2 linked regions of the Caenorhabditis elegans genome follow. The protein of the gene in region 2 purifies or fractionates together with the protein of the main gene of each other region. This does not show direct contact. Each region holds a gene or a part of one and is shown on either strand. Other genes may lie near its edges.

Region 1 (15,779 bases), on a different chromosome or scaffold from region 2:
AAAATTTCTGAAATTTCAGTAATTTTTGGTGAGGCTGATAGTTTTTGTAGTTTGTAGTGTGAGCCTCAACAAATTTTTGTGCGAAATCGCCGTAAAATAAGGAATTTTTTGTGGAAAGTACCATAAAAATCATAATTTTTCGCCAAAAAACTGAAAATTTGGCTATTTTTACTGGAAAAGCCCACTGTTTCCCAAATTTTATTGCAATTTTCACCCAAAAACTGAATTTTCGGGCACTTTTATTGAATTTCAGACAGTTTTTCTCGGGAAAACATGATTTTTGCCCTGTTTTCGCCTTAAAATTTCTGAAATTTCAGTTTTTTCCCCACAAAAATGCTCAAAAATCTGGAATTTTTACCCAATTTTTTGCAGATTCACCATCCGGATCGTGGAGGAGACGCTCAATTCTTCGATAAAATCGCCAAGGCTCACCAGGCTCTCACCGATAAAGAAGCTCGCGAAAACTGGGAAAAATACGGAAATCCAGACGGCCCAACTGCCACAACTTTCGGAATTGCTCTGCCCAAATGGCTTGTGAGCAAAGAATACGGACTCTGGGTGCTCGCTTTCTATGGGCTCATTTTTATGATCATTTTGCCCGTTTCTGTTGTGAGTTTGGCGCTGGAAATGGCGGAAATTGGAAATTTTCGCGAAAAATCGATTTTTCAGGGAATGTGGTGGTATAGCTCGATCAAATACAGCGCTGACAAGGTTCTTCTGGACACCACACGAATGTACTATTATTTCATCAATCGGACACCGAGAATGGAGATTGGAAGTGAGGAAAATCGATTTTTCCACAAATTTTCAGCCAGAAAATTGCTTTTTTGGCGATTTTTCACCCAGAAAGTCGGATTTTTGGCAATTTTTCATCCTGAAAATTGATTTTTAGGCAATTTTCCATACAATAATGGAATTTTGAAAGTTTTCGACGATTTTCCGCTAAGAAATTCGGATTTTTGCCAATTTTCATGCAGGAAACTTGAGTTTTGACTGGTTTTCACCCAGAAAATCAGATTTTTGGCAATTTTTTTGGGCAAAAAACTCAAATTTTGACGATTTTTACAAAAGTCCTGGTTTTCCACGAAAAAAAAATTCAAATTTATTACAAAAAAAAAACCACTAATTTCAACAGAAAATCGCAATTTTGTGCTGGAAAATCCAAATTTTCTGGAAATTTATTAATCTCAAAGCTAAAAATTCGGTTTTTCAGCATTTTTGCCAAGTTTTAAATACATTTTCACCCTGAAAATCAATTATTTTTAATTTTAGGAATGATCGCCGTGCTCTCTGGATCCTTCGAATTCAGCAAACAGTACAATAAGGAGATTCAGGAACGAGAAACTGATGATTATGAGGTTCCGAGGCTCATGAAACAGATTGCCGGTGTTAATGATAAGGGAAAAGAGCAACCGTTGAGCCAACCGTATGCACTGAAATCTCGTGTACTTTTACACGCGTATCTGTCGAGATTACCACTGGAATCGCAAAATGATGCGTTGGAGGAGGATCAGAGGTTGGAAATTGATGGAAACCCAGGAAAAAGCATAAAAATCGCACAATTTTGATGGAAAATTCATAAAAATCGATGAAAAATGACCCGAAAAGCGAAAAAAATCTGGAAAAATAATTTAAATTGCCAAAATTTCACTATTTTTGGCGATTTTGTGATAAAAATTGGTTGAGGCTTACATTACAAACTACACAGTTTGGGAGTCTCACCCAAATTTGGTTGAGGCTCACGCTACAAACTACAAATTGTCGTAGCCTCAACCAATTTTTTTCGGCGAAAAACGGTTTGAAATGTGTTAAAATTCATATTTTTCCACAAAAAAACATCCAGAAAATTTGTAAAATTTGATCTTTTTCGACGAAAACTGCTCAAATTTCGAAAAAAAGTGAGAAAAATTGGATTCTCAGACTACAAACTACAAGTTAGCGTAGCCTCAACCAAAATTACAAATTTTTGAATTAAAATTTTCATTTGTAATGCATTTTTTCTGAAAATAGCATTAAAATTGCCAACATTTCACTATTTTTCGCGAATATTCGATAAAAACCGCTTTAAAATACCGATTTTTAATTGAAAATCTCGAAATTTCCTCCAAAAATCGCCAAAAAAACCCATTTTTCAGCTACATAATCACCCGAATTCTGCGTTTCGTCGAAGAAATGGTGAATTGCTCGCAAAATCTGATGAACTACTCCCAACACACGAAGATTTCCATCGAAACGTTCGATAATCTTCTGAAATTGCAACCAATGTTCGTTCAGGCGCTTTGGCAAAAGAATAGCCCGTTGCTTCAGCTTCCACACATTACAGACTACAATTTACAGCATTTGAGAAAGGTTTGTGCCGGAAAATAAGCCATTTTGTCGAAAAAACCGTTAAAAATGAGCTATTTTTGATGAAAAATGCTCTAAAAATGAAAATTTTAAGTCAGAAATTTGTAGTTTGTAGTGTGAGCCTCAACCGAAACTCATTAATTTTTGGTGAGGCTACGCCAACTTGTAGTTTGTAGTCTGAATATTCAATTTTTCCCATGTTTTTTTTTCGGAAATTGTGCAGTTTTCGTCGAAAAATACGAATTTTTTCAAATTTTCTGTCTGTTGTTCGTCGAAAAATATCGATTTTTCAACGGTTCAAGCCGTTTTTCGCCGAAAAAATTGGTTGAGGCTACGACAATTTGTATTTTTGTAGTTTGTAGCCTCTAGCCTCAACCAACAATTTTTGTTATTTTTTAAACAAAATACGTCAAAAATACTAATTTTTCTGAGAATTTACTGGAAAATTTGTCTCTTTTTCTGTGAAATACGATAAAAATGTAAAATTTTGAGCAAAAGACCTTCAAACAAGTGGTTTTTCGGTGAAATTGAGCCATTTTTCCATTAAAAATTTCAGTTTTCGTCGAAAAAATCATTTTATAGCTCATTTTTAAACTAAATTATGCGTTTTGTAAAGAAAAAGTTCGATTTTCCGACAAAAAATCAGATTTTAGAGCGATGAAAATCTAAAATTCTTGAAAAATTACATTTTTTTGCAATAATATATTTTTTCAGCGCTTAAAATTTAAGTTTGTACTCTAAAAACGCTTTTTCAAAATCTAAAAATCATGAAAATTCCAATTTAATCACTGGAAATTCGGGGAATTTTTAATTTTTAGAGGAAAAAAATGAAAAAACCCCGATTTTCTTAACAAATTTTCACTAATTTCCACTAATTTCAGAAGCGTGTATTCTCGTGCCATGACCTAGCTGTAATGGATGCAGAAACCCGTCGTTCCGTCCTTCGATCCCTATCAAATGAGGAATATCGTGACGTAATGGTCGTTTTATCAATGATGCCACGTCTACAAATCGAGACGAAGACAGTTGTAGAAGGAGAAGATGATAAGCATGAACTGACGGCTGGATGTGTAGTTACACTGAAAGTTACGATGAGAAGAAGCCGATTAATTGATCCACAAGAAGCAGGGCTCGCTGATCAGTACAAAAAGTATGCGGAAGATGGTGGAGATGATGAGTTGGAAGCATCGGAAGCTCCAGAAGAAGCTGCTGCTACTGTTGAGGAGGAAGAAGTGAAGAAACGGAAGCCGTGGGAGAAGAATAAGCCGAAACAGAAGAAAAAGAAGGCTCAAGGTCAGGGCCAGAAGAAGTTTGTGAAGAAGAACGCCCCGGCTTCACCTGACACGGAGAAGGCTTTGAAGGAGGAGGCTAAGGTGCTGAGAGAGGAGATTTGGACGATTTTTGCGAAAAAAATCTCTTGAAAACTTGATTTTTAATAATTATCCCTGAAAAATTGCAACTTCTGCAATTTTTTTGCTCGAAAACTGAAGCTTTGACAATTTTCCAGCGAAAATATACATAAATTTGTAGATTGGAGATTGGAAGTGAGGAAAATCGATTTTCCCACAAATTTTCATCGTGAAAATCGGATTTTTGGCGATTTTTTACCCGTAAAATCGAATTTTGGCCTATTTTCTGTTGAGAAAACTGGATTATTGATAATTATCCCTGAAAAATTGCAATTTCTGCTTTTTTTTTTCCTTGAAAATTGAGTTTTTGACAATTTTCCAGCGAAAATGTAGAGAGTTTTAGAAATTCGTGTTTTTTCAGACAGAACGCTGGAATTTTGATAATTTTAACAAGGAAAATTGAATTCTAGCCGATTTTCACCCTGAAAATTGGATTTTTGGCGATTTTTGTAATAAAAAATCCTGGCTTTACAAAATTATTACAAAAAAATCCACTAATTTTAACTAAAAATCACAATTTTGTTCTGAAAAATCCAACATTTCTGGAAATTTTGAACTGAAAAAGCAAAATTCACACTAAAAACTATATTTTTGAGCAATTTTTCTAGAACATTTTGAGAAAAGTAGCAGTTTTTTTGTTAAAAAATTGCCAAAATGAGCTACTCCCAGTGAAAATGCTTGAAAAAATCGAATTTTCGATAAAATTCAGCCAAAGTTTGCATTTTTTCTCACAGAAAATCATTAAAAACTCTAGAAAATCGCCGGAAAATGCTGAATTTCAGTTTTCCATGGGAAATTTGTATTAAAAAATAGTTTTTTTTACTGAGGCTTAATTGTTCTTGACACGGAAAATGTCGATTTTCGACTAATTTAAGTTAAAAATCCGATTTTTTCCAGGAAATTTGAGGAAAAATTGCAAATTTTAGCGTTGAAAAACCTATAAATTTGAAAGATTTTATCCAAAAATTGGCATTTTCTAGTTGAAAAATCGATTTTAAACCCCCTAAATCTCGGTGAGGCTTACTGCACTACAAACTACAAAACCGGTTTAGCCTCAACCAGTTCGGGTGAGGCTAATAAAGCGTTTTGTAGTTTGTAGTCTGAGCCTCACGGTAGAAAATCGGGAATTTCGATATTTTTAACTCAATTTCCAGGAAGAAGACGATGATGACGAAAAAAATTCGAAGGCTTCAGATTCTGAAGATGAAGAATCGGGAGCTTCTGATTCGGAGAAGGACGGAGCCGCCGCCGCCGGAGGAGATCAAAAAGATGATCAAACCGATTCGGAATGGGAAGATGACGTGGCAAATAGCAAAAAATCGATATTCGAGACGAAAAACACACAAACTCACACTGTTCATGCTCCGTTCTTCCCGACTGAGAAATTCGAATGGTGGTGGATAACGGTAGCATATGTGGATAAAAAGGAGAAGTCTCGGCAGTTGCTGACGTTCCCACAACTCGTTAAAACACTGATTGATGAGCAAACGGTACGAATTCGAAGGATTTTGAGTTGAAAATCTGGTTTTTTGGAGGATTTTGATCCGGAAAATGTTGATTTTTGACGAATTTGAGTTAAAATTCGTCATTTTCCAGTCGAAAAATCGATTTTTTACCCCTAAATCTCGGTGAGGCTTACCAAACAAACTACAAAATCGGTTTAGCCTCAACCAAATTTGGTTGAGGCTAATGAGAGTTGTAGTTTGTAGTCTGAGCCTCAACCAATATTTCTAATGCTTTTTCGGTTGAAAATCGGGATTTTCTGAAGGACTTTGACACGGAAAATGTCGATTTTTGAGTATTTTTCTTGGAAATTTGAAAATTTGGAAATTTGAAGGAAAATTCGAATTTTAGCGTTGAAAACCTATAAATTTGAAGGATTTTATCCTAAAATCAGCATTTTCTAGTTGAAAAATCGATTTAAAACCCACTAAATCTCGGTGAGGCTTACACTACAAACTACAAAATCGGTTTAGCCTCAACCAATTTGGGTGAGGCTAATGGGAGTTGTAGTTTGTAGTCTGAGCCTCAACCAATATTTCTAATGCTTTTTCGGTTGAAAATCGGGATTTTCTGAAGGACTTTGACACGGAAAATGTCGATTTTTGAGTATTTTTCTTGGAAATTTGAAGGAAAATTCGAATTTTAGCGTTGAAAACCTATAAATTTGAAGGATTTTATCCTAAAATCAGCATTTTCTAGTTGAAAAATCGATTTAAAACCCACTAAATCTCGGTGAGGCTTACACTACAAACTACAAAATCGGTTTAGCCTCAACCAATTTGGGTGAGGCTAATGGGAGTTGTAGTTTGTAGTCTGAGCCTCAACCAATATTTCTAATGCTTTTTCGGTTAAAAATCGGGATTTTCTGAAATTTTTATGGATTTTTTTTAGAAAAAAAATGCTAAAAACGATCAATTTTTCTAAACAATTTGTTGTTTCCTTCCTTAATTACAGATAAAAAAGAAAAAAATTGTATTTTTCGTTAGGTAAGGCTCAGGCTACAAACTACAGAATCTGCCTCAACCACAATTTTTTCCTACGTTTTTGACGATTTTTTTGGCAAAACTATGCCAAAATTTGAAGTTTTCGCCCCAAAAAATGGCATATTTTTGCACTAAAAACTCCATTTCCCACTAAATTCCTATTGATTTCTTTCAGATTGACATTCGATTCGCGGCTCCACCACACAAAGGAATCTACACGTACAATTTGTCGGTCAAATCGGATTCCTATATGGATGCGGAGTATAGTGTTGATTTTAAGGTGATTTTTGATTGAAAATGACGGATTTTAATGCGAAAAATTGTAAAAAATTATATTTTCAGGCGAATTTCTCCTCAAAAAATCCATTTTCGACACAAAAAGCAGCAAATTTCTCAACAATAAATTCAAAATTATTGCAGATCGACGTGAAAGAGGCGAAATTCGTCGAAATCAAGCACGACGACTACGTGGATGAGGACGATGAAGCCGTCGAAGTGTCGTCGGACGATGATTATACAGAAGACGATGACTCGGATGAAGAGTAGCGAAATGCTCCAACAATTGCTCTCCAAATTATTCGTTAATTTATTTTTCAATTTTTCTTCAGTGGCCCCCCATTGTTCTCCCGCACTTTTCTCCAAAAAAATTTCAATCAATTTCTCTACTGGGTTTTCTGTTCTTCTAAAAGTAATTAAATTAAATATTTTATTTAAAAAAATTTGTATGTTTTCGTGTTCCCTATGCATTATTATTTCTATTCCCTTCCCACCAATCACATCACTTTTGAAAATGTTTCCTCTACATAGTTACATGAAATTTAGACCCTTTTTTCTATGCTTCAATTAAAAAGAATTTCAGAGACAGGAGCCCGAGATTTTTTAAATTCATATCATAAATATTATATACCACTAAAAAAAGGAGAAAGAGAGAGAGAAGACGACAAGAATTGATGTGAATTCCACGTGGAAAAGAGAAAAGGCGCTCCAGCGCTATATCACAAGGAAACAGGGGCGAGCGAGTAGAAAAGGAAACTTGTACACTAGGGGGGAAGGACGGGGGAAAACATAAAATATTTAAATTATGGGAATCAAACAAACAAAGAAGAAAACATCAATAAATTATCGATTAATTACTGCTGATACGGCGACTGGCGGTATCCCGTGGCAGATGGTCCTCGTGCGAATGGATTTCCTCCCGGGGCTCCGGCGGCTCCCGGTGGCGGTGCTCCGACTGGTGGGAATCCGGTTGGCGGTGGTCCGTAGGCTCCTGGGCCTCCTGGAGGTGGTGGTCCGAATCCTCCTGGGCCTCCTTGTGGTGGTCCGTACGATCCTGGGGCTCCTGGGCCTCCTGGCGGTGGTGGACCGTAGCCTCCTGGGCCTCCCGGCCCCTGTGGTGCTCCGAAGGCGGATGGTGGTGGAGCAAAAGCGCCCGGTGGTCCCGATTGTGGTGGAGGGGCAAAGTTTCCTGGAGCACTTGATACTGGCGGCGGTGGCCCTCCGAACGATTGTGGTGATGGAGCATGGAATTGCTGGGGTGGTGGAGCTCCGAAGGATCCTTGTGGTGGTCCTCCCTGTGGTGGCCCTTGTGGCGGTGCTCCAAATCCTTGCTGGGGAGCTCCCTGCGGTGGTGGGGCTCCGAATTGCTGCTGCTGCTGCTGTGGTGGAGCATATCCTCCATACTCTGATGGTGGTCCAGACGGTGGTGGCCCGCCAAACTGCTGCGGTGGAGCAAATCCTTGCTGCTGCACTGGAGTCGACGAGATCGAAGAGTGCGACGCCATCGGTGGTGGTGGAGCCTGGAATTGTTGCTGCTGCTGCTGTGGAGGCGGTGGAGCAAACTCCTGAACTGGTGGGCTCGCCGCATTCGACGTTGGGAACGACGGGATCGTCGCGTTCGGTGGCGGAATCGCTCCGAATTGCTCAATTGGTGGCGGTGGCTGGGAGCTGAAGCTAGTGTTCAGATCATCGGGAATTTGCTGATGTGGTGGTGGAGCATAGTGATTCTCCAACGGAATCTCCTCCTCAACGTGCGCCGGGCGATGATTGAATTGCTCGTGAACCGACGGTTGGATCGTCGCCGGGAGCTCGGCCTTCTCGGAAGGCACTGGCGATGGTGGAGCCGCTTCGAAGCTCTTTTGGAACACAATATTGTCGTGGTGAGATTGTTTTGGAGCCGAGAGATTCGCCACCGATGTGTTCGATTGTTCGGCGATCTGGGCAACGTCGAGAGCACTGAGAGCGCCAAGAAGCTTTCCAACATCAAGCTGAAAGAAAAATTGAATTAAAATTCGTTTTTCGCTAGCTGTAGTACTAGAAATTCCAATTTTTAGCCATTTTGTGTTAAAAATATTGAAAAAAAAAACCGATTATTTGGATAATTTTGTTTAAAAATCAATGAAAACGCTGAAATTTCTCCAATTTTTCAGTGAAAAACCAAAGATTTTGTGAATTTTAAAAACAAAATTGGTTGAGGCTCACACTATAAACAAAAAAAAGCTGCATAGCCTCACTCAAGCTTTAGCTAATTTGGTTGAGGCTAAAGCTACAAACTACAAAATCACCATAGCCTCACTCAAGCTTTAGCTAATTTGGTTGAGGCTAAAGCTACAAACTACAAAATCACCATAGCCTCACTCAAGCTTTAGCTAATTTGGTTGAGGCTAAAGCTACAAACTACAAAATCACCATAGCCTCACTCAAGCTTTGGCTAGTTTGGTTGAGGCTCACACTACAAACTACACTTGTTTCTTAGCCTCAACCAACATTTTTCAGTGTTTTTCCGGATTTTTTTTTGTCTAAAAAGCTCAAAAATGCAGCATTTTCGATGAAAATTCTGCAACATTTTGCATTTTCCCGCTCAAAATTGCGCTTTTCAGCTCAAAAATCGTTTTTTTTCGCTCAAAATCCTCCTTACCTTAATCTGCTCGACTTGCTTCTGCACATCGTGCACAGCCTCACGAGCTCTCGAGTCGACAACGACGGTCACGTCGAGCGTGGCTCCAGACGTGTGAAGAGCCAGCAGGAGGTCGCTATCCTCGGCGAGTGTCACCAAATCGCCTTCTAAAATTGACAAAAATTGAATTAAAATCGCAATTTTCAGTGCAATTCCTACCTTCATCCTTGTACTTCAACACGAAATTCGCGTCGGATGGGAGAGCCAAAAGCCGCTGCACATTGAGCACGAGATCGATGAGTGTCAAGTCGTTGGCGTGGTGAAGTGACGTCTTGCGGACGACGTCGGCGTGACGAGCCTTCAGAATTGTGCTCGTGATGGCTCCGTTTGAATGCACCATCTGGAAAAAACGGGGGTTTTTTAAAGGGAAAATTGGGTTTTGCGGGAGAAAAAGAAAGAAAAAAGCAAAAAAAAACCGGCGAAAATCAACTAGAAATCAAGAATTAAACACAGAATCCGAATTTTGGTGAGGCTCAGGCTACAAACTACGAAATTGGCTCAGCCTCACCCAAGTTTATCCGGAGCTCATATTTTTACGAAAATTTTGGATTTTCATGTGTTTTGACAGGAAAATTCGACTTTTTAGTTGAAATTCGACCTAAACGAGATCAAAGTTTCAAAATTAGAGCGGGAGTAGGCCAAAAATATGGTTTCATCGATTTTTAGGCGATTTTCCTATCGAAAATCTAAATTTTCGGCTCTAAAACCCACTTGAAACGCTATTTTCTAAGATTTTAAAGCAAGAAACCGGCAGAAATCAAGAAATAAAATAGTTCCACGTGTAATATAATAAAGCAATTCCATCGGAATCTCTAGATTTTCGCGGGTTTTCGGTATAAAAATCGGGATATGGCACATAAAATAAGTAAAGATCACGAAAATAGATCAAAATCTTCAAGATAATATTGAAAAAATTGCGAAACTAGGTCTAAAAAAATTCCACACGGATTTTCATCGTTTTTTGCCGGTTTTCTGGGGTTTTTTTATGGTGAAAATATCGATTTTAACCTCTAATACTCACTTTTCTTGCTATTTTTATGGATTTTCTGCAAGAAAACCAAGGAAAAATGGGAAAATAACGGGAAGAAAAACGATCCAAATCCGCGATATAAAATTCCACGTTCGGTAAAAGTGCGCCGCAGTTGCAACACGCGTGCCAGGATTGCAAATAGGGTACGCCCCCCGGCTAGACTCCGCCTTTTCAGTTATTCTTTTCGCGATTTTTTGAATTTCAATAGTTATCGTGTGGATTTTTCGCGTTTTCTGAAAAAATATGATAAAATCCTCTAATTTCAGCTCAAAAATGTCGAATTCTGACGATGAAATACAGGAAATTGAGGCTAAACGACAGAAAAGTAAGGCTTTGCAGCTGGAAATTCAAAATATTTGAATTTTAAATCAAATAAAATATATTTCAGTGTCCCAAGAAGATTCCGAGGTCGAAATCGAGATTCTAGATGAGCCGGAGCAAGGAAAACTGAAAAATTCGTCGAGTAAACCCGAAAAATCAATAAATTAAGGCGAAAATCCGCGATTTTTCAGTGAGCGACGAGCAAAAACTGCATGAATTTGCAATAATCACGGCCACAGATGAGGCTTTTGCGCAGTCGATTTTACAGGATGTAGACTGGGATTTGAAGAAGGCTCTGGACGTTTTTTACGGGAGTGAGGCGTTCGCAGAGGCCAGAAGTGCGGCCGTAATGGGCGCTTCATCGTCTATGGCGAGCTCTGGAGCTGCGGTGATGACGGCAGAGGATTTGAAGGTTAATAGAAGAATATTTGGAGCAAAATCAAGCCAAACCACCTAAAAACATCGATTTTCGAGTTAAAAAACCTCAAAAATGCTGCAATTTCCGTAAAATTTCAGTGATTTTTCACAGAAATCATTGAAAATTTGAAAAAAATCACTTTTTCAACCGGAATTCCGAAAAAAAAAATTGGTTGAGGCTCAGGCTACAAACTACAAAATCGGCCGAGCCTCACCAAAAATTTCCAAAGCGAAATCTGGCGAAAATACTTGAAATTTTCCTCATTTTTTATCAAAAAAACTAAAATTTCCATAAATTTTCATAGATTTCCTTCAAAAATCAGTAGAAAAACTAAAAAAAAATCACGCTTTCAACCGGAATTCCGAAAAAAAATTGGTTGAGGCTAAGACTACAAACTACAAAATCGGTATAGCCTCACCAAACATTTCCGAAGCATAATACTCGAAATTTCCCTCATTTTTCTTCAAAAAAGCTCAAATTTCCATAAAATTTCATGAATTTCCTTCGAAAATCTTTAGAAAAACTGAAAAAAATCACGCTTTTAACCTGAATTCCGAAAAAAAAATTGGTTGAGGCTAAGACTACAAACTACAAACTCGGCTTAGCCTCACCAAAAAAAAATTCACTTTTTTCGCGATTTTTCCAACAAATTTCAAATTTTTTCAGGGATTCGAAGTCAGCGTAATGTCGTGGAACATTGATGGGCTCGACGGGAGAAGCTTGCTCACAAGAATGAAAGCAGTGGCTCATATTGTCAAAAAGTGAGCAAAATCGGCGATTTTTCACGGAATTTTCAAATTTTTAGTTGATTTTGATGCAAAATCAGCAAAAAAATCACTAAAAACCGTCAAAAATCTTCAAAAATCAACCTGAAACGCCAAAAAAAAATTTCAGCGTCAATCCGGACATCCTATTCCTCCAAGAAGTCGTCGACCGTGATTTGGCGCCGATTGATAAGCTTCAATCGCTGTATAAAATCTATTATTCGAACAAAGGCTGCCAATATTATACGGCGATTCTTGTGTCGAAAATGTTCGACGTCGAGAAGCATGACGTCATTCATTTTCAGAATTCTGGAATGTACAGAACTTTGCAGATTTTGGAGGGATCTATTGGCGGTTTGAAGGTTAATTTTTCAGAAAATAGACGAAATTTTAAGAAAAAATCCCGGAAAACCGCTAAAAATGAGTGAAAATGATGGTTGAGGCTACCCAAATTTGTAATTTGTAGCCTGAGCCTCAATCAATTTTTATCGCAATAATCGAATTTTTCAGTTTTTTACTGAAAAAAAAGATTTTTTGAAAAATTCTCGCATTTTAATCCATTTTTTCAAAACAAAATATAAAAATTCCCGTAAAAATCAATCAATTTCCGCAAAAAATACCTTAAAATCGAGCAAAATGTATATTGGTTGAGGCTAACCACATTTGTAGTTTGTAGTGTAGGCCTCAACCAATTTTTCCCCTCAAATGTTTTCCCTCTTGTTTTTCTTGCAAAAAACTTCAAATTTTTACAGAAAATGGGATTTTCCACTGAAAAAATCTAGATTTTCAGGTTTTAAAATCAATTTTCGGTCAAATTTTACGGAAAATCCCTATGTCTTCCTGAAAATCTCTTTTTTGTTGTAAGATTTTCGAGATATAATTGATTTTTTTCAATCAGAATTCTGCAATTTCTAGCTGAAAATCACAGTATGTAGTGTGAGTTCGAAAAAAATTCGTTGAAACTTTGGTGAGGCTAACCAAATGTGTAGTTTGTAGCCTGAGCTTCAATCAATTTTATTTGTAATTTTTTTGAATTTTTCAATGATTTTTGTCGGAAATACATGAAATGTTATGGAAATTTGAGCTTTTTTGAGAAAAAATGTGGGAAATTTCGAGTATTTTCACCAGATTTCGCTCCGGAAATGTTTGGTGAGGCTAAGCCGATTTTGTAGTTTGTAGCCTGAGCCTCAACCAATTTTTTTTTCGGAATTCTGGTTAAAACCCTGATTCTTTCAGTTTTTCTTCTGATTTTTGAGGGAAATCCCTAGAATTTTGAAAATTTGGAGCTTTTTTTGAAGAAAAATGAGGGAAATTTCGAGTATTTTCATCAGATTTCGCTTCGGAAATGTTTGGTGAGGCTAAGCCGAGTTTGTAGTTTGTAACCTGAGCCACAACCACTTTCCCGAAAAAAAACTGAAGAATTTCCTCGTTTTAATTGATTTTTTTGAAAGAAAACTGAACATTTCTATTAAAATCATTCGCTTTTCGGCAAATTTAACAAATTTTTGTAGTTTGTAGCCTGAGCCTCAACCAATTTTCTCGTTTTTTGCAGGTATTCCTACTTAACACCCATCTCGAATCAACACGTGAGCACCGCCCGCAACGTTGTGCTCAATTCGGCTTCTGCATGGACAAAGTCCGTGAAATCATCGCTCAAAACCCGGGCGCCCTCGTCTTTTTCGGCGGCGATTTGAACTTACGAGACGAGGAGGTCAGCCGTGTGCCTGACGGTGTTAAGGATGCCTGGGAGGCTGCCGGCAGTGATAATAAGACAAAATTCACGTGGGACACCTTCAAAAATGACAATAAACAGGGATTCCATGGCGCTAAGATGAGGTAAAAGCGAAGAGACAAATAAAAAAGAAATAAAAAATATTTTGCCACACCGGGGGCTCGAACCCCGGTCGTGTGATTGGTAGACGGCGAAAAGCGCACTGAGCCATTCGATCATTTTTTAAAAAATAAACAAAAATCGATTTTTTTCAATTTTTTAAAAAATCTAAAAAGCTTCAAATTTTCAGATTCGACCGCCTATACTGGTCTGGACCACTGGACAAAGTCAAATTCACACTTGAAGGCCGCCAACGCATCCGTTCCTGTTTGTGCTTCCCATCTGATCATTGGGCTATCAATGCCACGTTTTTTGCCTGAAATAAGCCTTAAATAAGCCTTAAATCATCATTTTTTACCCATTTTCACTTGTTTTTCGACCGGTTTTCACTATTTTTACCCAGGAATTACCTCCCAGTTGTCACCGGGTTTTAATCTTTTTTTTTCATCTAAGCTCCCTTTTTTTTGAAAACTCGTTGTTTTTATTGATCTTCGATTTTCGATACTGATTGTAAATAAATCCACTTTTTTTTTTCTTTTAAAACTATAGAAAATCGCTCATTTTTTGGAAAAAAAAATTGGCGCCTAAAAAAATTAGAAAATTGAAATTTTGGGATAAAAAAATATTTTATTTTTTAAATTTCGAGCTTTAAAATAACAAATTTCATCTCAAAACCACTACAAATAGAAAATAAAAATTTTTGCCACATTGCGGACTCGAACCCCGGTCTTGTGATTGGTAGCCGGCGAAAATCCCACTGCGCCATTCGGACACTTTTTTTTTCGAAAAGCTTAAAACTCGATTTTTCTGATTTATAAGCCTCTAGATGATTGTTATTATCTTAAACTATAGGAAAAATCGTTTTTAGAAGAAAATAACTAGAAAATTGATAATTTCGACTCAAAACCCAACTTTCAAAAACTTTTTGTTCTAAATTTCTAGGTTTTGAGGTTTTAAATTGCTAAAAATCACATCAAATTGGCAAAAAATTGAAAATATTCGCCACGCCGCGGACTCGAACCCCGGTCTCTTGATTGGTAGCCGGCGGAAATCCCACTGCGCCATTCGGACAATTTTTTTAAAATTGCTCAGAAAATTTTGTTATGTTAGGCCTCTAGGGGTGTTGTTTAGCCACAGAAAAAATAAATATATCGGTTTGGAAATTTTTAGAAGCAAAAAAAACTAGAAAATTGATAAATTCGACTTTTTAAAAACTTTTCCTTCTAAATTTCTAGATTTTTCCGTTTTAAATTGCTCAAAATTACCTAAAACTCACAAAACATGCAAAATAAAAAATAGTTGTCACAGCGCGGACTCGAACCCCGGTCTCGTGATTGGTAGCCGGCGGAAATCCCACTGCGCCATTCGGGCATTTTTTTGGAAAATGTTTAGAAAAAAAAAATTCTATTTTTTTTTTAAATTTTAGTTTCTTCAGATGATTTCGTGTCTTTTTAAAACTAATTTGGCCTGAAAAAAAATTTTAAATTTAGAGTTTTCCGGAGGTAAGGCTGCCAAAGGACTGGGGGGTCGATGCACCATAATTTTTTTTTCTTTAGAGAATCGATATTTCCCCCCCACCTGTCCGTCTTATTAGAGACTACGCAGAGAAGACAAGAACACTCCCTGACAACCAAATTGGCCTGCAAAGGGGTCACCATATCTCCAATATTTCCTCCCGCCAATGCCTGCTCTACCTTTTCCAATATTATCACTTCCTCCGAAATCCCGCCGAATAGCCCTAAAATGTATGGATACTTTGGATTTGTAAGTCTTTAAATTCTTAATTTATAGATTTTAGGCTATTAGGGCCCGAAACTGTTTAAAATTTGAATTTCCCGGCAAAAATCGATGGTAAAAAAATTTACAACACGTTTTGCTCACTGTCTCTAAGGCTTAGGCTTAGGCTTAGGAAGAAGCTTAGGCTTAGGCTTAGGAAGAAGTTTTGGCTTAGGCTTACACTTAGGTCCAGGCTTAGGCTTAGGCTTAGGCTTACGCAAAGGCATTGGCTTAGGCTTAGGCTCATGCTTAGGCTCAGGCTTAGGCTTAGGCTAAGGGTTTAGACTGAGACCTAGGCTTGGCGTCAGTGGGGGAGCGTTAGCTTAGGCTTACGCAAAAGGTTAGGCTTAGGCTTACGCAAAGGCATTGGCTTAGGCTTAGGCTCATGCTTAGGCTCAGGCTTAGGCTTAGGCTAAGGGTTTAGACTGAGACCTAGGCTTGGCGT
Region 2 (15,399 bases):
TGACTCCAGCGAAGGTATGTTTGCCAAACGCGAGTTTTTGCATTGCCAAAAAATCACATTTTCTTTTCCAGCAACCAAATGACACAACAACAAGAGTCAATAGTCTTTCATATGGCTTAAAAGGAGATCACATGATTATGTCGACAGATGATGATTCTATGTTTCTGTACGATATGAACACCGGCTTACGCTCTCGCAGTGTTAACAGTAAAAAGTATGGATGCTCACATGTGAAGTTCGCATCAGATTCGATGTGCGCTCTTCACGGTTCAACAAAAGTTGACAGTAAGTTTTTTAAATTGAATTAACTTTTCTAAATATTTTCTAATTTCACTTTCAGACACTATCAGATATCTATCACTCACCGACAATAAATATATCCGCTATTTTCAAGGCCATGACAAGCTGTGAGTGAATAATTTCAGCAAATCTATATTTAAATTTAAATTTTTACAGCGTTACTGGAATAAACGTTTCACCAATGGACGATATGTTTCTCTCAGTTGCCGAAGACAAAACCATTCGACTTTGGGATCTGAAAACTCATAATTGCATTGGATTAATGAATCTTTCGGCAACTCCTATAGCAACATTTGATCCAGAAGGACTTCTTTTTGCAGCAGGGCTTGACAATAACATTATCAAACTTTATGATTTACGATCTTTCGACAAAGGTCCATTTTCTAGTTTTGGTCCTTTGGAAAACGAAGACAACGTGGAATGGACTGCAATGCGATTCTCGCCATGTGGAAAATATATAATGATTTGTACAAATTCATCACAGTTATTGTGAGTTATTACAAGAAATTTAGAGATTATTCGCGAACTATTTATTTTAGACTTGTGGATGCATTCACGGGACTTATAAAGTTCACACTGGAGGAGCATCAAAACGCACAAAAAATTCCACTGATGGCCTCATTCACACCTGAATCTTCTCATATTATGGTGGGAAGCTCCGATGGTTACATCTACTTCTATGACGTCGAAACTGGAGAAATTGCTCTGAAAACATTAGCTCCAAACAATCAGACATGCCATATTGCTGAATTCAGCCCACAGCATTTCGTTGCTGCAACCGCTGATACAAAATTAGTTAGTTGAATTAGAACTACGGTCCTAAGTTTGTTTTCATAATCTTTAATTTTAGACTCTCTGGTGTGCCTCCGATGAACTAAAAGCACAAGCACAACAATCGTAATCACTTGGATCTCAAGAAAATCTCTTTTTAACTATCTCATTACCTTATAAAAGGTGCCAAACTAAAATCATTCAATATTTTATTTATTGCTTTTTTATGAAACTGGTTCATTTTTCTTTGGATGTCTGTTAATGAATTTCATTAAAAAAAAGTTTTTTTCTGCTTTTAATACTAGTTTTTTCTCACTATTCGAATATTGTTACAATCAAATTAAACCGAAAAGTAACTTCAATTCAGATGTACAATGATGAAGAGCTTATAACAGTTCAACCAGAAGCTTTTAAAGCATTAACACCTTCGAAGGTAAAATTCGACGAAAAAAAGTTTATATGTTAATAAATTTCTTCAGAAATTCAACGAAACATCAAATAAACTTCTCGATTTAGCATATTCAGACGATGGAAATAATTTGATTGTGTCTGCAGAAGATGTTGTACTTGTTTATGATCTTCGAGATGGATCTAAAGGAAAATCAGTGAGATATTTTATATTTTAATCGTATTAAATTATAAATATCACAGATAGAGTGTAAGAAATATGGAGTCAATTGTTTGGAATACTTGGACACAGTTAAATGTGTTCACAGTGGTCCAAATGACACGACAATTCGATTACTTCATCTACAAAAGAAATCATATGTCCGTTATTTTGATGGCCACCGTATGCCGGTTAATTTTATACGAACAAATCCGAAAGACCGTGAAAAGTTTTTGTCAAGTTCTGTGGATGGAGAAATACGAATGTTTGATACGAGAACTTTTGAGAACTATGTAAGTTAATTGTGGAGTGGAAGTGAATGGGGATTTTGCTTCAAAATATCTCAAATAGTCTCAAATTCAGAAATACCACTAAAGAAAAACGAAAAAAATCGCGAAAGAATCATTTTGGAGGAAAATAAAAAGGAGGATTAGCTAAAATTGAAAAATCGCGTTTTTAAAAGTTGGATTTATGTATCACTCTATCTCGATTTTTTCCGCTTTCTTTTACGGTATTTTTGGTTTTTTGGATTTCCTAACAGCAAAATATTTTGCTAAAATTTCCATTTAATCCAACTCAATATTTAAAAAAAACTATTTTTTGCAGTAAAAAATTCAATATATAAATAATCAATTATTTATTTCCAGGGATGCCTTCTAGCTGGACACACTCCTCTAATTGCTTTTGATCCTGATGGAATTCTATTCGCTGTTGCAACAAAATCGGACACAATCAAACTATTTGACATGAGATCATTCGACTTGGGTCCATTCCAATCATTTATCATTACTAAAACTGATAATGATGAATGGTCGGATATCGAGTTTTCTCCATGTGGGAAATTTATTTTAATTTCCACGACAGCTGGAAGTGTTAAATGGATTGATGCTTTCGATGGAACACTGATTCACAGCTTTTCCCAACACAAAAATCCAAATGTCAGTTTTTTTTGATAAGCGAAAATTAAATGTTACTCAGTAGCGAAGTTTTGCGATTTTGAGCGAAAATGCGGGTTATATCTCTCGAAGGCATTTTTTTTTGTGAAACTTTAGTGAAAAATATCAAGAGTAAAATAAATACCTCAAAATCTAGATGAAAAAAAAAACAAAATGTGAAAAAGAAAAAAAAATTCAATTAAGGAGAGTTGGGTTACTGTAATCAGGACTGAATCCAATTTTTTTTTCGAAAACGAAAACGAAAATAGTTTTTTCGCCAACAATACGATTTTACAAAAAGACGAAAAACATCAAGTTATGTCAATTATAAACGTTTCTTTAAACATTTTGAGCAAATATGAATTTCGAATGTTATTTTCTATAAAAAACTTGAAAAATTATAATTTTTTAAACAAAATTATCTTTTCTATTTCAGAAAATCCCACTTCGAGCATCGGTCTCCACTGATTCTGGATTCGTAATGGTAGGAAGCGCAGACCGAAACGTTTATATCTATTCAACAGAAACGGGTGGAGTGACTTGCAAGCTTCCAACTCCTTATCCTGAACCGTCACATGTAGTTGCTTTCAATCAGAAACAATTCCTGATGACATCTTTAGGACGAGAAGTTATATTATGGGCACCCAGTGAAGAATACACTCAGAATCTTTAAACAAAAAGATGCAAATAGCACATTTCAAATCATTCCCCATTGATCTCGATTCAACATTTTAAAATTACGATATTTATAATTTTTACTCACAAAAACAACAATATGAATGTAACAACAAGTTGAGATTCGAAATGAAGAAAGTTCAATATCAGAAAGAATATCTTGATGACACCATTGCTGCTTCTTCTGGAACCATATAATCCAAGATTTCAGTAATAGTTGATTTCTGCTCTTCGGACATAAATGCGATTAAAAGATCAAAACGACTGAGTTCACTGATGATCATCATTCGTGCGGCGAGATGGGGAATCGTGCGACCAGTTTTCAGATGAAAGTTGAGTGCCTTGAAGATTTGAACAGCATATACATCGTCTAGGAGTTCATCGAATAATTCTGAATATTTATCCATGCTGATATTCTGAAACAAATTTCGATTAATTCTGAAACGTCACAGATTTCCAACTTACTAAGAAATATTCTGCAAGAGGAAGCAAACTTTGGGCTCTTTTCAACATATTCACAGCTCCAACAAAATCTTGATAGTCCTTTGGGTGTGGTGGAAGCTTTGTTATATACTTTGGAACAATATTATCATTCTCTGGTTCTTCAGCGACAATGATCTCCTCGATCTTCTCAATATTGTACGTAAAGTCGATTTTTGTGAATTTTTCATCTGATTGTAGATATTCGTCTCTTTCGATTGACGGAAGATCAATAACTTGCACATTTTTCTTTCCTTTCAGATCATTTGCTTGTCTCTCCATATTTGGATCATTCGAATATTTGAAACAAGTTTTCATATCTCTTTCAGCCAATTCATACAATTCCAGTGCTTTGAAGGCTTGAGCTCTTCTGTAGTAAGCTTTTGCTGCAGTTGAATCCAAATTTAGTGCAGCAGTACAATCGATTTGGGCAAGTAGAGGAAGATCTGCGTTGAGCCCAGCTTGAGCTCGATTACTGAATACAATTGGATCAGGCCAATGTTCAAGACTTTTCGAATAGATTGTCATAGCCTTATGATACTTTTTCTTCTTAAAAGCTTCGTTTCCCTGCTCTTTCAGACGTTGTGCAATTTTTTTTTCTTCGTCCATTTCTGAAACGAAATATTTTATTTCAAAATAAGGTAATTCACAAGTAAGCTCTATCTCCAAGAATACTTTTTATTCATTCAAGACACGAAAAAACCTTTTACAAGTACAGTAACCCATTCATCAGTATTCTGAAATCTTATTAGATTTTTTGGGGTTTTTCGAATAAAAAAACAAAATTTAAAAATTTAAAGAAGAGAAAAAACAATTTTCTTGTTGGTTTTTTGGGTTTTAAAACAATTAATTTCTTGTGTTTTGGGGTCAGCCCTAGCGCAGCCTTTATTTGAAAATTGTTTTCCGTGGTGAGAGCAGAAAGCGTTTTTTTTTTAAATAAAAGCAACATTTCACAATTTGGTAACAACAAATAACAATGCGATGGAATTATCTACCAACTTGGGTAAAAACAGATATTAAAAAAAAAAAGCAAGCATTTTATTTACAAGAATACCCGCAACGGTATTAAGTGTTAGTTTTTATTTAAAAAAATTTCAAGATTAAGTTTAAAAATCCAATCTATCACAAGAAAAAAGCATCTGGATAAGAAATAGACATTCACAAAAATCGAAAAAGGCAATAAATATATTTGAACAACTAAATTTGGAAATTTTTAATAGATCGGAAATCGGTTCGAAGTCGAACAAAATCATGAATCAATTGTCTATCAACATTTTCGAGCAACGAGGAGTGAGCTGTTTCATTAACTTGATCGGGAAGAACGGCGAGCAAATTGGTAAGAGCTTGAAGACTTTCCCATTGTGTCAGTGCATTTTGAACTCTCCATTTTGATACAAGAGTTCGAAGTTCTCCAACATCACAAAGAAGAAGTACAGCACCAGTAGAATTATATGTGAACTGTTGAATATGTGTAAGCATGAATTTGAATAGCCGAGTTGCAAGATCAGATTGAAGTGCTTCCAAATTTTCGCCATCACATCCCAACTCCATTGCAGCAACTTGGTTTGCAAGAAAACGAGATGCCAATTGACATTGTGGGGATACTCGAATATCAATTTGCTGAGAATCCGGACGGAAATCAGTTTTCTTTTGTTCGCTGAACAAGAATTTCACGTATCCTACGATTGAATTCAATTGCCGTTCCAATCCTAAACTCATTTTTGATTCCAAAGAACGCAGAGATTGTTGCCATTTCTTGGCAACAGATGGTTCGACAATTGTTTCTCTGAAATAAAATATATTTATTTGTTTTCTAATAAAAATTAAGCTCACTTGATAATAGGGAAAATGGGATCTTCAAATTGTTTAATCATAAGTAAAATGACACTGGTACATTTTGCAACAACCGAGAAAAAGTAGGCAGGTGGTTCAGTTTTTGATTCTGCAAGAGAAATTCCAGCCAAGCCTGTCTCCACAGCATAATCCAAATGTTCTCCGTAAAGATATTTTAATAGAACGTCTACGATATTTTCCACGTGTCTTGGCAGCTCTTCTTTGTCACATAACTGCAAAAAAGTTGAAATTTCGAATTTATTTTTGCAAAAATGCTAGGTTTTTTATACGTTAAAATTTTGAAAGAAGCTTGGAAAAAAATTCCGAATATTATTTCAAAACTCTCAATTTTTAGGAAATATACTCGGAAACTTGAATATTTTTTGAATATTCCTAAAGAAAAATTAAAACAAAATAATACAGTACCCCACCGTTTTATTGGTTTCTTTTGGAAAAAAAATGGGTTTCTTGGTTTTTTTCGAACCAATACAAATTTTATTGCAAAAATGTTGATTTTTAGTCGGAAAAAGGAAAAATTTTGAATTTTTTCGTTTTTTGGTCGAAAAATTTTTGCTGAAAGCCACAGGTGACACTGAAAATCTCGTAAAAAGCTCAAAACGTTTTTTTTTCTTGAAAACTACAGTAACCCAGCACTAATATTTGAAATTTGGAATTGTTGAAAACTACTTTGAAATATCGAAAAATTCGGCGAGGCGGGTTTCAGACTTGAATTTGTATCAGTTTTTCGTGTTTGACGATATTTTTAAACCTTTTGCAAAAGAATCAAGTACCAAGAATTTATGCAAAATGTTGCAAAAAATCTTGTTACTTCATTATTGCTTTAAAAATTTCCGTTCGACGGTCTCGTCACGTAGGAGAGTACGGTAGATTTAGGTTATAACAAGAGAGCGTTCAAACTTTTTAAAATTTTCTTTCATTTTTTGCAGTTTCAAAACATCAAAATTCGTACCTGATTTGCCCGCCCAAACGCATTTTTGGTTTCTTGAAGAATCGAAATGGCGACATCTTCAGCGACAAAAGTCTCTCCTCCATAAGTTTCCACATTCATTAATCTTGCAGCCACATCTCGTTTCAACTCGTGTAATCCACCTCCAATTTGTTTCTTTACGTGTTTTTTTGATTCATAGAATCTTTGAAGGAGATTCGAACATTGATCATTCAAATATTTCAACTCTTCCGAGCAGTACGTAGCTATGTATCTTTGGAAAATAGAGTCAGTGAGAGTTGATAAAAATGCACTGTCTGGGCTGATATGAAGTTTTTCCAATTCTTTACACATTTTCAAAGTGCTCGAATAGAGATATGCCAAATCACGGAGATAATGTTCTTGATCATCTGTATCTTTACATTCTCTAAGTCTTGCAGTTATTGTTTCTTTCATTCGTCCTGTGAAAATATTCAGAACCAATTTCTGCATAACAGTGTGTGGAGATGGAAATATTGCAGATATTCTTGGTTGTTGAGTTCGACATAATTGCAAGCAATCCGCTAGAATTTCTCCACCATCGCCACGTGGATGAATTGATTGACACAAGAAATCGACGTATCGATCGACGCAACCCGAATAACCTTTGAACTCGCTCAAAATCTTCGCAACTTCTGCCATTTTCTTCTCATCTCGTTGAGATCTGACGAATTCTTCGATTAGCAAGTCTTCGACAACTTTATATCTTTGTCCAATTCTAGCTTGAACATTTGCAAATTTGTCCTTATTGAGTTCCTGAGAAATTGAATAAAGCTTATGCACCAGATCGGCAGATTCGAGAAGCTTATCAGGATCAGTGAAAATCATGGAATTGAGAGGTTGATCTGAGAGGAATTCATCGAAATGTTGCATCAATTGATGAGCATCATGAGCTCGTGAACGTGGTTGATCGACGGATTCAAGTTGATCACCAAGATGAACAACTTTTGTAGAGACTGCTTGCATTGTATGATCTAATTGTTTCATTTTATCAATTGCTTCTCCATTTTTCTCGTGAAGACGGTGAAGTTTTTGTACATAATCCTTCTTTTCCTCGTTCATTTGCTTTTCAAGAGTATTGATTTTGTTCTAAAAATTTCCACTTTTTTTTAATGCGAACAGAAAATTGAAAAATAACCTGAAACTGATCACAAAGCATCTGTAAACTGCCAATTTCTTCCTCGAATCGCATTTTCAAAGAAACCGGATCGTTTATAGTCTGAGCACTTCCGGTCATTCTCCATGCCAGTTTTTCAACAAGATCAATTGCGTCGAACGGTTCCTGTTCTAGATCCTGTACATATGTCACATATTGTCCACCACTCATCTGTAATTATTTGTTCCTAAAGCATGAAAAACCACTTTTGAATATAAAATATACACGACGGCTATAAAGAACCAATTAAATAATCTATTCAAACCTTATCAGTTCTGATAGTTTTATACTAAAGAATAAAATAGAGTAAAGCACATTGAAGTTTGAGCAAATAACAGGGAATTTTTAAATGCAAATGGCATACAGGGAAATAGAAATGATTGACTAGTATTGGCAGAGGGACAAGATTATGCAATATACAGAAACATTTAGGTATTTTGAACAAAAGTTAAATATTTACAATGAGAAATTCTAATTCTATTCAAGCTTAGTTGCTTTCAATTCTTTTTTCTTCTTTTTTTCATCGTCTTCGTCGTCGCTGAAGAAAAGTAATGGAAACATTCCGAGTAAGCATCCGACTGTTAAACCAGCTGCTCTTGCAGCATTCGTTGTGAACCTGGCCTGAAATCATTTTTTTAAATTTAAAGAGTTAAAAATTCTAGAGTGTGAAAAAAGACGATTATTTTTCTCATTTTCGTTCAGTAGTTGAACATTTCTGGTAAAAAAACGTTCAAAAATTTATCGGCAATTTTCAACTTCATTATCAGATAAAACAAATATTTTTCTAAATTCTATCACTAAATTTTATTGAAAAAAATTGAGAAAACATGCCACATTGGCACAATTTGTACCCCTGCTGCATGCAGCAGCTGCAGACTGAATTTATTCGGGCAGAAGTTCAGTGTGAATAAAATTTTTAACACTTTTTATCATTTTTTGAAAAACAATCAATAGATCCTTTTTCACCTTTCCACTGTCCAATTGTTGAGATGTCAAAACAGGATGTTTAATTCCAACTCGTTGCACTGCAACCTCTACATAATGCGCGAGACCAACGCCAGCAATATCCGAGATAAGATTTCCGAGTGCAGCGGCTGCCATAGTTGATATAGCTAGAACGGCCCCGAGTTTTTGATCAATATACTCGCCAGCTAGGATCATAATCATGTTGTCAAGAACACCGAATCCAATAAAAGGAATAGAATTGACTAGAAATATTCCTTTTACTTGCTCTTGAGTAAGTTCTTCTACTTTCCCATCTTCTTTCTTTGTCAAACAATCGTCTAACGCCGATTTCAACATCTGTTGTTCAATGATAGTCAGACGACTTGCAATTTCCATAGCATCATTTGGAGTTTCAATTATCAGTTTATCAAGATGTTTGAAAGCTGCTGTAGTCGATAGACGGATACTTGTGACAGAATGGTTTGTTAGAAGCGTTCGAGAGCTCGCTCTGCCGATCATGGCAAAAGCCAGACGAGCTGGCGAGCTGATCATTTTTTTGCCTTTCGGCAAGCCGTGGTCTGTAATTTAACTTATGAGAAGACCAATAAATTTAACGAATAATACATAATTAATAACGAGTGAGAGGGATTTGACTGGAAAACAACCATTTTCAAAAAAAAGAAAAACATTCAATTTATAAACAGTTTTCATAAATTAAAACAAAAAGGAACTGTGAGCCCATTTTGAAAAAAACACCGAATGAATTGAAAAGAATAAGAAACGACAAAACATCAAATTTCAATGATATCCGCGTCCGCCTCCTCGTCCTCTGCCTCTTCCACGACCTCTTCCTCTCCAATTTTGTCCACTATTGTCTCGTGAAGTGTGTTGTTCGAGAACCTAGAAATGACAGTTGATAAGAGCAATGTTTTAATGACGCCACAATGGCTAGAAAAAGATTGAACACAACAAACCTGCTCCTCGTGAGTTTTTGGACGGTCGAAAGTACTTTTTTGTCGATTTTGGGAATGTTGCCTATCTGAAAATAGTTATTTCAAGAAATTTTCCGCAATTAACAATGAGTAAACTTACCAAAAGTATGTTGTTGTTGTCTGAAAGATTCTTGTTTCACTCCAACCATTTCTTCTGTGCGTCCTCCACGATCTTTTGGAGCATCCATAATTGAAAGTGGATGTTGTTTGCTTTTTGTTCGTTCTCTGAAAATACAATTTCATAGTTTTTACCATACATTTTTATAAAAATACCTTCTATCCATAGATGACGCTTTTTGAATATAGAGCAATGAAGAACTTGCAGAAAGAAGATGAGCTACGTCACTGTTCGCTTTAACTCGTCCAATTTCATCGACACGAGCAGAAAGAATTGATTGAATATTCTCTCTGTGCATCTTGAGGCGATCATTCCATAAAAATGATTCAACTGTGACCTTGAGTCGACTGTTCAGAAGTAGAAGTCGATTGTAAAAATCACGAGAAAACGATTCACACTGTTTTTCAATTTCAGGAAGTGTATTTTCATCAAGAGTCGCTTTGAAAAGTGGATGTCTTTGACTTTGGGAAACGCGTCCATCTGTCTGAAAATAGAATTTGAGAGGGTTTCTTCAATGAATTATTAATACCTTTTGTCTCAAAGTTTCCAAGAGTTTCCATTCATTAGAATTTCCTGCTTGTTTAGGGAAGTTGAGTGTTCGAAGGGCAGAATCAATAAGTGGAGTCAGTTCGAGATCACGTTTTTCGGAGACCTTAATGAATTATTTAGGTCGAAGTGGAGGGACTTGAGACTAAAAAGCAAGAAAAAACAAAGTTAAATAGAAAATATAAAGCAAAAATTTGAGAAAATGTGATTAATGATAAATCCGAGATATTTCCAGTTGTGTTTTGGCAACTTAAATGCAATATTTCAAAAGAAAACTTACAATTTCACCCGATTCAATTCTTTGTCTAGTAATGAGACGAGCAGTTTTGACTTCTGAATCAAGAAAACTTTCAAGAAGCTTCTTTGCTGATGAAGATTGGAAACGTGTTCTAATATCACCGCATGTCAGTTCTTCATGAGGACATTCTGAAAACGAAATAAATTAATTGTATTATCTTCATTCCTTACCTAATTCAAGCAAAAAAGTACTGAGATCATAAAGAAACTCTAGTAAATTATGGTCATTCGGCTGTCGGACGTATTCTTCAATTTCGTACAATTCTCGAATTTCTGCACAATATTGGATAATTTGATTGGCAAAATCGAGAGTTATTCCATCTGACATTCCTGAAAAATTGTCGGGATTTGGCTCAAGAGGGGTATTAGAGAAAATGTGTTCAATGGAGTAAACAACAAATAAGTTTACACTAAATAATCGAATGGAAGGCTGGCACCAGTCACTGAAAACTGACGAAGTGGTGACATCTTATGAAATATTTGACAGCGGATTTTGCTGATATTATTAAAAAAATGTTTAATTAAATGTTACGTTAAAATCATTAATATATGCAAAGAACAAATAAAAACAGGAGAGAAATTGCCGAAAGAACTCAACACTAGAGTTCTCCGAGTGGAGTACATAGGTCGTTCGATAGAGCGCACTTGCGGGAACAGTTTTTGTGTCATTTTTTTATTTCTTCTCATGGAATTCCGATCGGAAGGAATATATTTCCGAAGAATACATTATGATCATCTTTACTGGATTATTTATGTTAAAAAAACCAACTAAAAATCCGAGAATCATTTTATTTTAAGAAATAATTCATCAGAAAAAACGATGAATTAAAAATGGCAAGTGGAAATGTACCCTAGACGAAAAGTTATTGATCTTCACGGAAGTCAAAATAAACAATTTAAATACAGATATGAATATGAACAAGCATGTAGAAAAGTAAGATTATCTATTTACATTAATTTTGAATCGATTGTTAGTGTTTAATCATAAATTTCCATAAGTCGTCGGTATGATTTGCAAATCCAATTGAAAAGATGATTGCAGAAATTGCTGGGAGAACCATAGCCGGAGTTGTTTTTGATCTGTTAAAAGAGTATTTTGTAAGAAGTAGAATTTAAAACAGTTTTTACCTCCATATAGAAAAGAAAACTGAGAAAACCAGTGATGCAAAGACTGCGGCAAACGTGATTGCAAAAAGATTTGTATCATACATTGAGCTGTACTTGAGAACAACATTTAGAAATACTCCAGGAACCATTATATCAAGTGCAGCGAGACTTTGTTTATTTCCTTTTGTGTCTCGAGGTACAAGGATCATGAGAGGAGAACGATTTTCTTTGACTACTGTGCCTGAAAACATCTATATTAAAAAGTAAACAATGTAAAAAATCGCAAAATCGAAAATTTTATTTCAGTCAGTCTCGTAAAACAATTTAAAAAATGTTTAGTACAGTTTATGAACACTTCAATTTTATGTATCGTAACTTCGCGAAATTTTGTCATGTCCGTTTAAAGGCACATGATGTTTTCCGCGTGGGTCTCGTCACGATATCAGGTGCTAATTTTTCAAAGTTGCTAATTTTTATACAGAGACTGAAGTTTATAAAGGCAAACATTCCAGCGTTTTCGTGGACGCAAGACTACGATTCCAGTAACTTACTCAAAAGATCCACCACATAAAGGAAGAAAAGATCAAAAAGCGACATTCCAATGACAAATATAATTGCAGTTTGATAGCTCACAGCTTGAATTCTTGAACACACGACGTAAATCGATGCAAAAGCAAGAATGTCGTTAGAGATCCAATTACCAGAACATTCATGATAAAGTCCAAATGAGAGAGATACAAGAAGAGAAGCGTACATCATTGATTCTTCATGATAATAAAAGTAGAATGCTGTAAAATTATGAGATTAGAGTTTCAGCTTTAAAAATATTAACTTACACATATGCTGACTGAATGATTCCAAAAGAATTATATGAATACATGCAACGGATGCCCAGATAGGCACATGAACAGCAAACAATTCAGCAATTATGTCGAGCAAACTGAACGTTTTTATTTTGAAGTTTTGATAACAATAAAATAATTCAAATTTTTAGTTATTGATTGTATTTCATAAATATATATCCATGAAGCATCCTTTTTCAATTCTTTTTTTGCTCCAAAAGTGGGTATTCGCACAATTTTAAAATGAAATTTCCTGGTGTCTAGAGTTGGCAAAACATTTTGGATTTTTTTAGAATTTATTTTTTCTGCATAATAAAATTTTTGAGAAGTTGTCAGTGTCTGGAATAAAATGAACGTTTTCACATTATGAAATAAAAGTTTCGAAATTACAAGCTGCAAAAACCAATAATTAAGAAAAATGTCCCAATATATTCATCAAATCACGCTCCCAAGCCTGGTTAAGATGTTTTTTTTCAACACCAATTTATAAATATCTTCATTTGCACTTTTTGTTATTAGTTCAATTTTCACTATTTGTTTTGCTCCTTATCAAATAAAAACTCACTCAAGTTGAATGTAAACTCTGGGTCCATCATCACTCCTCGGAAGTAGGCTCAACGCACTTAGTGAATAGGAAAATAGGTCAATCTGAAATAATATGATTTAAATTAAAATTTGATTTAAAAAAACAGAAAACTTACATCTCCGAGTTTTTTATAAATGTCACATTTCTCGGCCGTCGTACCTTCTTCTCCGGTAGTCCATACAATTTGACTTTTATCTGGTGATCCACCCATTGAAGATTTTCTGCTTGATCGTTGACTTGCAGATATCCAATTGCTTGAAGATCCTCTGTGTGTTGTCATAAGATCATGAGTACTTTTTGAGTTAGTACGACTACGAACTTCTGGTGTAACAGATGACGATTCTGAAAAAGTGATATGATTAAAATAATTATAATTAAAAAAAAACAAATTTCCATAAAAATTTAATTTATTGAAGATTTAGTTGCGGTAGTTTTTTTTAAATTACAGAGTTGATTGTCAATTCCACTTTTCGAGATAAAATATTTTTTCAAAAATATATATTTCGGATGTCAATATTATTTCCCTTTTTTAAAATTCTGAAGAGTTTTGAAAGCACTTGTATTGGTGGAATAATACCTGGTGGAATAATAATTTTACTGCCATCTTCTGCACTTTCTACTACAAATCTCGATTTTGTTAACTTTCTTGGAGGAGGTGTATCTTGTCCACTTTCATTATCATCCACATATTTCGGTGCAATATCTTCTTCCTCCATTCGTTGACGATGGCTTCGAACTGTATTTTCGATGTCTGCTTCTTCAATATCTGATAGCAATCCTAGAAAAATAACAATTATATATATATACGAATCAAATTTATAAGTAGGTCATTAAAGGAAATTTCGAGCTCACTTGAAATTACTATCTACTAGATTTCTCTCACTGTAGAATGAACTTTTCTGAACACAAATGTGTATAATTTCGAAATAAATGAGAGAAATTTGATATGATAGGACGATAAATTTATCAGTTTCCTTCAATTTTGATAATCTTACTTCGAATTCTTTGCTGTTGCTCTGCCTGTTCATCTCCTAATGAAACGGAAGCACGCCTGCTGATCTCACGGGAAACCTTTCGAGAGTTGAATGAAGAGGATGTCTGAAACAATTTTCTGTTAAAGAAGAAACAAACAATCACATCATGAAATGAATCGATTAATCAATCAAATCAAGGGGAATTACGCTGAACTGGTTGATTTTGATTACCAGACCGAGTTTAATTGACAAGAATGACAGTCTCAAGAAGTTTTCGAAAGATATTTTCAACAATTGAAAGGGAATTAGAGCGAAAAATTAACTATTTTACATAAAACTAGTGATTGTATTTTTTAAATTTTGAATTAAATCAGCATTTTCCTAGTAGAATCACCTTGAGTTCTTTTTCAGCTTCTCTAGCAATTTCTCTGTCTCGTTCGATATTGGCGCTTCTTTTAGTTCCCAAATATACAAAATACAAGACTATAGAGAAAACGAATGGGAGAATCATTGCAGGAACCTGATCCATGAATATTACAGTTGTTGAATCGAGCTGCAATTTTTTAAAATTAATTTAAAGAAATATATTTTATTAAAAACTAACCTCGAAAAAGTAAATTGTAGATGCCCTTCGACAGGAGTGATAAAGTACAATCCATGAAAGAATTAAAATGCTCGCCGATGCGGCAATCTTTGCCACGTCGTCTCGCATTTTTGGTGGCGAATCCTGAGCTTTTTTTGAATCAGTACACATACTTTTTCTTTCTGGGAATAGCACGTGCTAACTGTGAGACGATACGAAAACAAAAATGGCAAGAGACGAAGAGAAATCAAGTAGAACCGTACTATATAAAGACCTGTTTATCCTTTGCCATACGAAACAAAAAAGAAACGTGCGTTGCTGCCGGTGGGACGACACATAAAGAGAAATAAAGAATGTGTGGGAAAATCAATCTTCTACTGCTGGCCGGTGACCAACATTTTTAAAGAGCACCACAAACACGTGCTGCTCTCTAGTTCTCCAAGCAGTTGTTTACACATTCGAAAACGCTCTCACAGAGCAAAAAGTCGCACAAAATAAGGTCTCCCTGGATTTCCCCGTTCACAAATTACCGAAATATTACTTTTATTTTCCGACAACAGTTTATAAAATGGATGAAAGTTCACGATTTTAGGTTACAAAAAGAGGAACAAAATAAAAAAAGACAGAACAGTGAAAGGTAATAATGGTAAAATTCGGTTAAACAACA

What was found.
Region 1: the proteins of sec-10 (region 2) and tfg-1 purify together in Caenorhabditis elegans (affinity purification with western blotting, with the first as the bait; one study listed by BioGRID). This does not show direct contact.

What each region holds. Positions count from the first base shown.
Region 1 is NC_003279.8:14,095,802-14,111,580, reverse strand, and holds tfg-1 (Protein tfg-1), read right to left. Parts: upstream 10,260-15,779; 5' UTR 10,216-10,259; intron 9,535-10,215; coding exon 9,354-9,534; intron 9,302-9,353; coding exon 9,156-9,301; intron 8,506-9,155; coding exon 7,372-8,505; 3' UTR 7,111-7,371; downstream 1-7,110. Other genes in the region: dnj-29 (J domain-containing protein), read left to right, coding at 373-609, 670-778, 1,273-1,516, 2,136-2,349, 3,228-3,719, 4,910-5,245, 6,417-6,521, 6,662-6,787; tdpt-1 (5'-tyrosyl-DNA phosphodiesterase), read left to right, coding at 10,498-10,549, 10,613-10,687, 10,737-10,957, 11,630-11,724, 11,858-12,089, 13,280-13,563, 13,749-13,878; fbxb-100 (F-box associated domain-containing protein), read left to right, coding at 15,240-15,322.
Region 2 is NC_003282.8:7,774,587-7,789,985, forward strand, and holds sec-10 (Exocyst complex component 5), read right to left. Parts: upstream 7,914-15,399; coding exon 7,725-7,913; intron 7,676-7,724; coding exon 6,572-7,675; intron 5,835-6,571; coding exon 5,602-5,834; intron 5,555-5,601; coding exon 4,966-5,554; 3' UTR 4,795-4,965; downstream 1-4,794. Other genes in the region: swd-2.2 (WD_REPEATS_REGION domain-containing protein), read left to right, coding at 1-14, 72-285, 341-407, 457-789, 840-1,095, 1,151-1,201; swd-2.1 (Anaphase-promoting complex subunit 4-like WD40 domain-containing protein), read left to right, coding at 1,439-1,504, 1,551-1,676, 1,723-1,971, 2,326-2,616, 3,050-3,286; rpap-3 (RNA polymerase II-associated protein 3), read right to left, coding at 3,435-3,704, 3,754-4,377; tag-321 (Transmembrane protein 65), read right to left, coding at 8,220-8,363, 8,709-9,239; tag-322 (uncharacterized protein), read right to left, coding at 9,486-9,587, 9,662-9,726, 9,780-9,904, 9,953-10,281, 10,327-10,449, 10,624-10,769, 10,812-10,968; imp-3 (IntraMembrane Protease (IMPAS) family), read right to left, coding at 11,612-11,720, 11,769-11,988, 12,299-12,535, 12,584-12,687, 13,155-13,237, 13,291-13,517, 13,753-13,953, 14,171-14,273 and 2 more. UniProt on the Caenorhabditis elegans protein: Component of the exocyst complex involved in the docking of exocytic vesicles with fusion sites on the plasma membrane.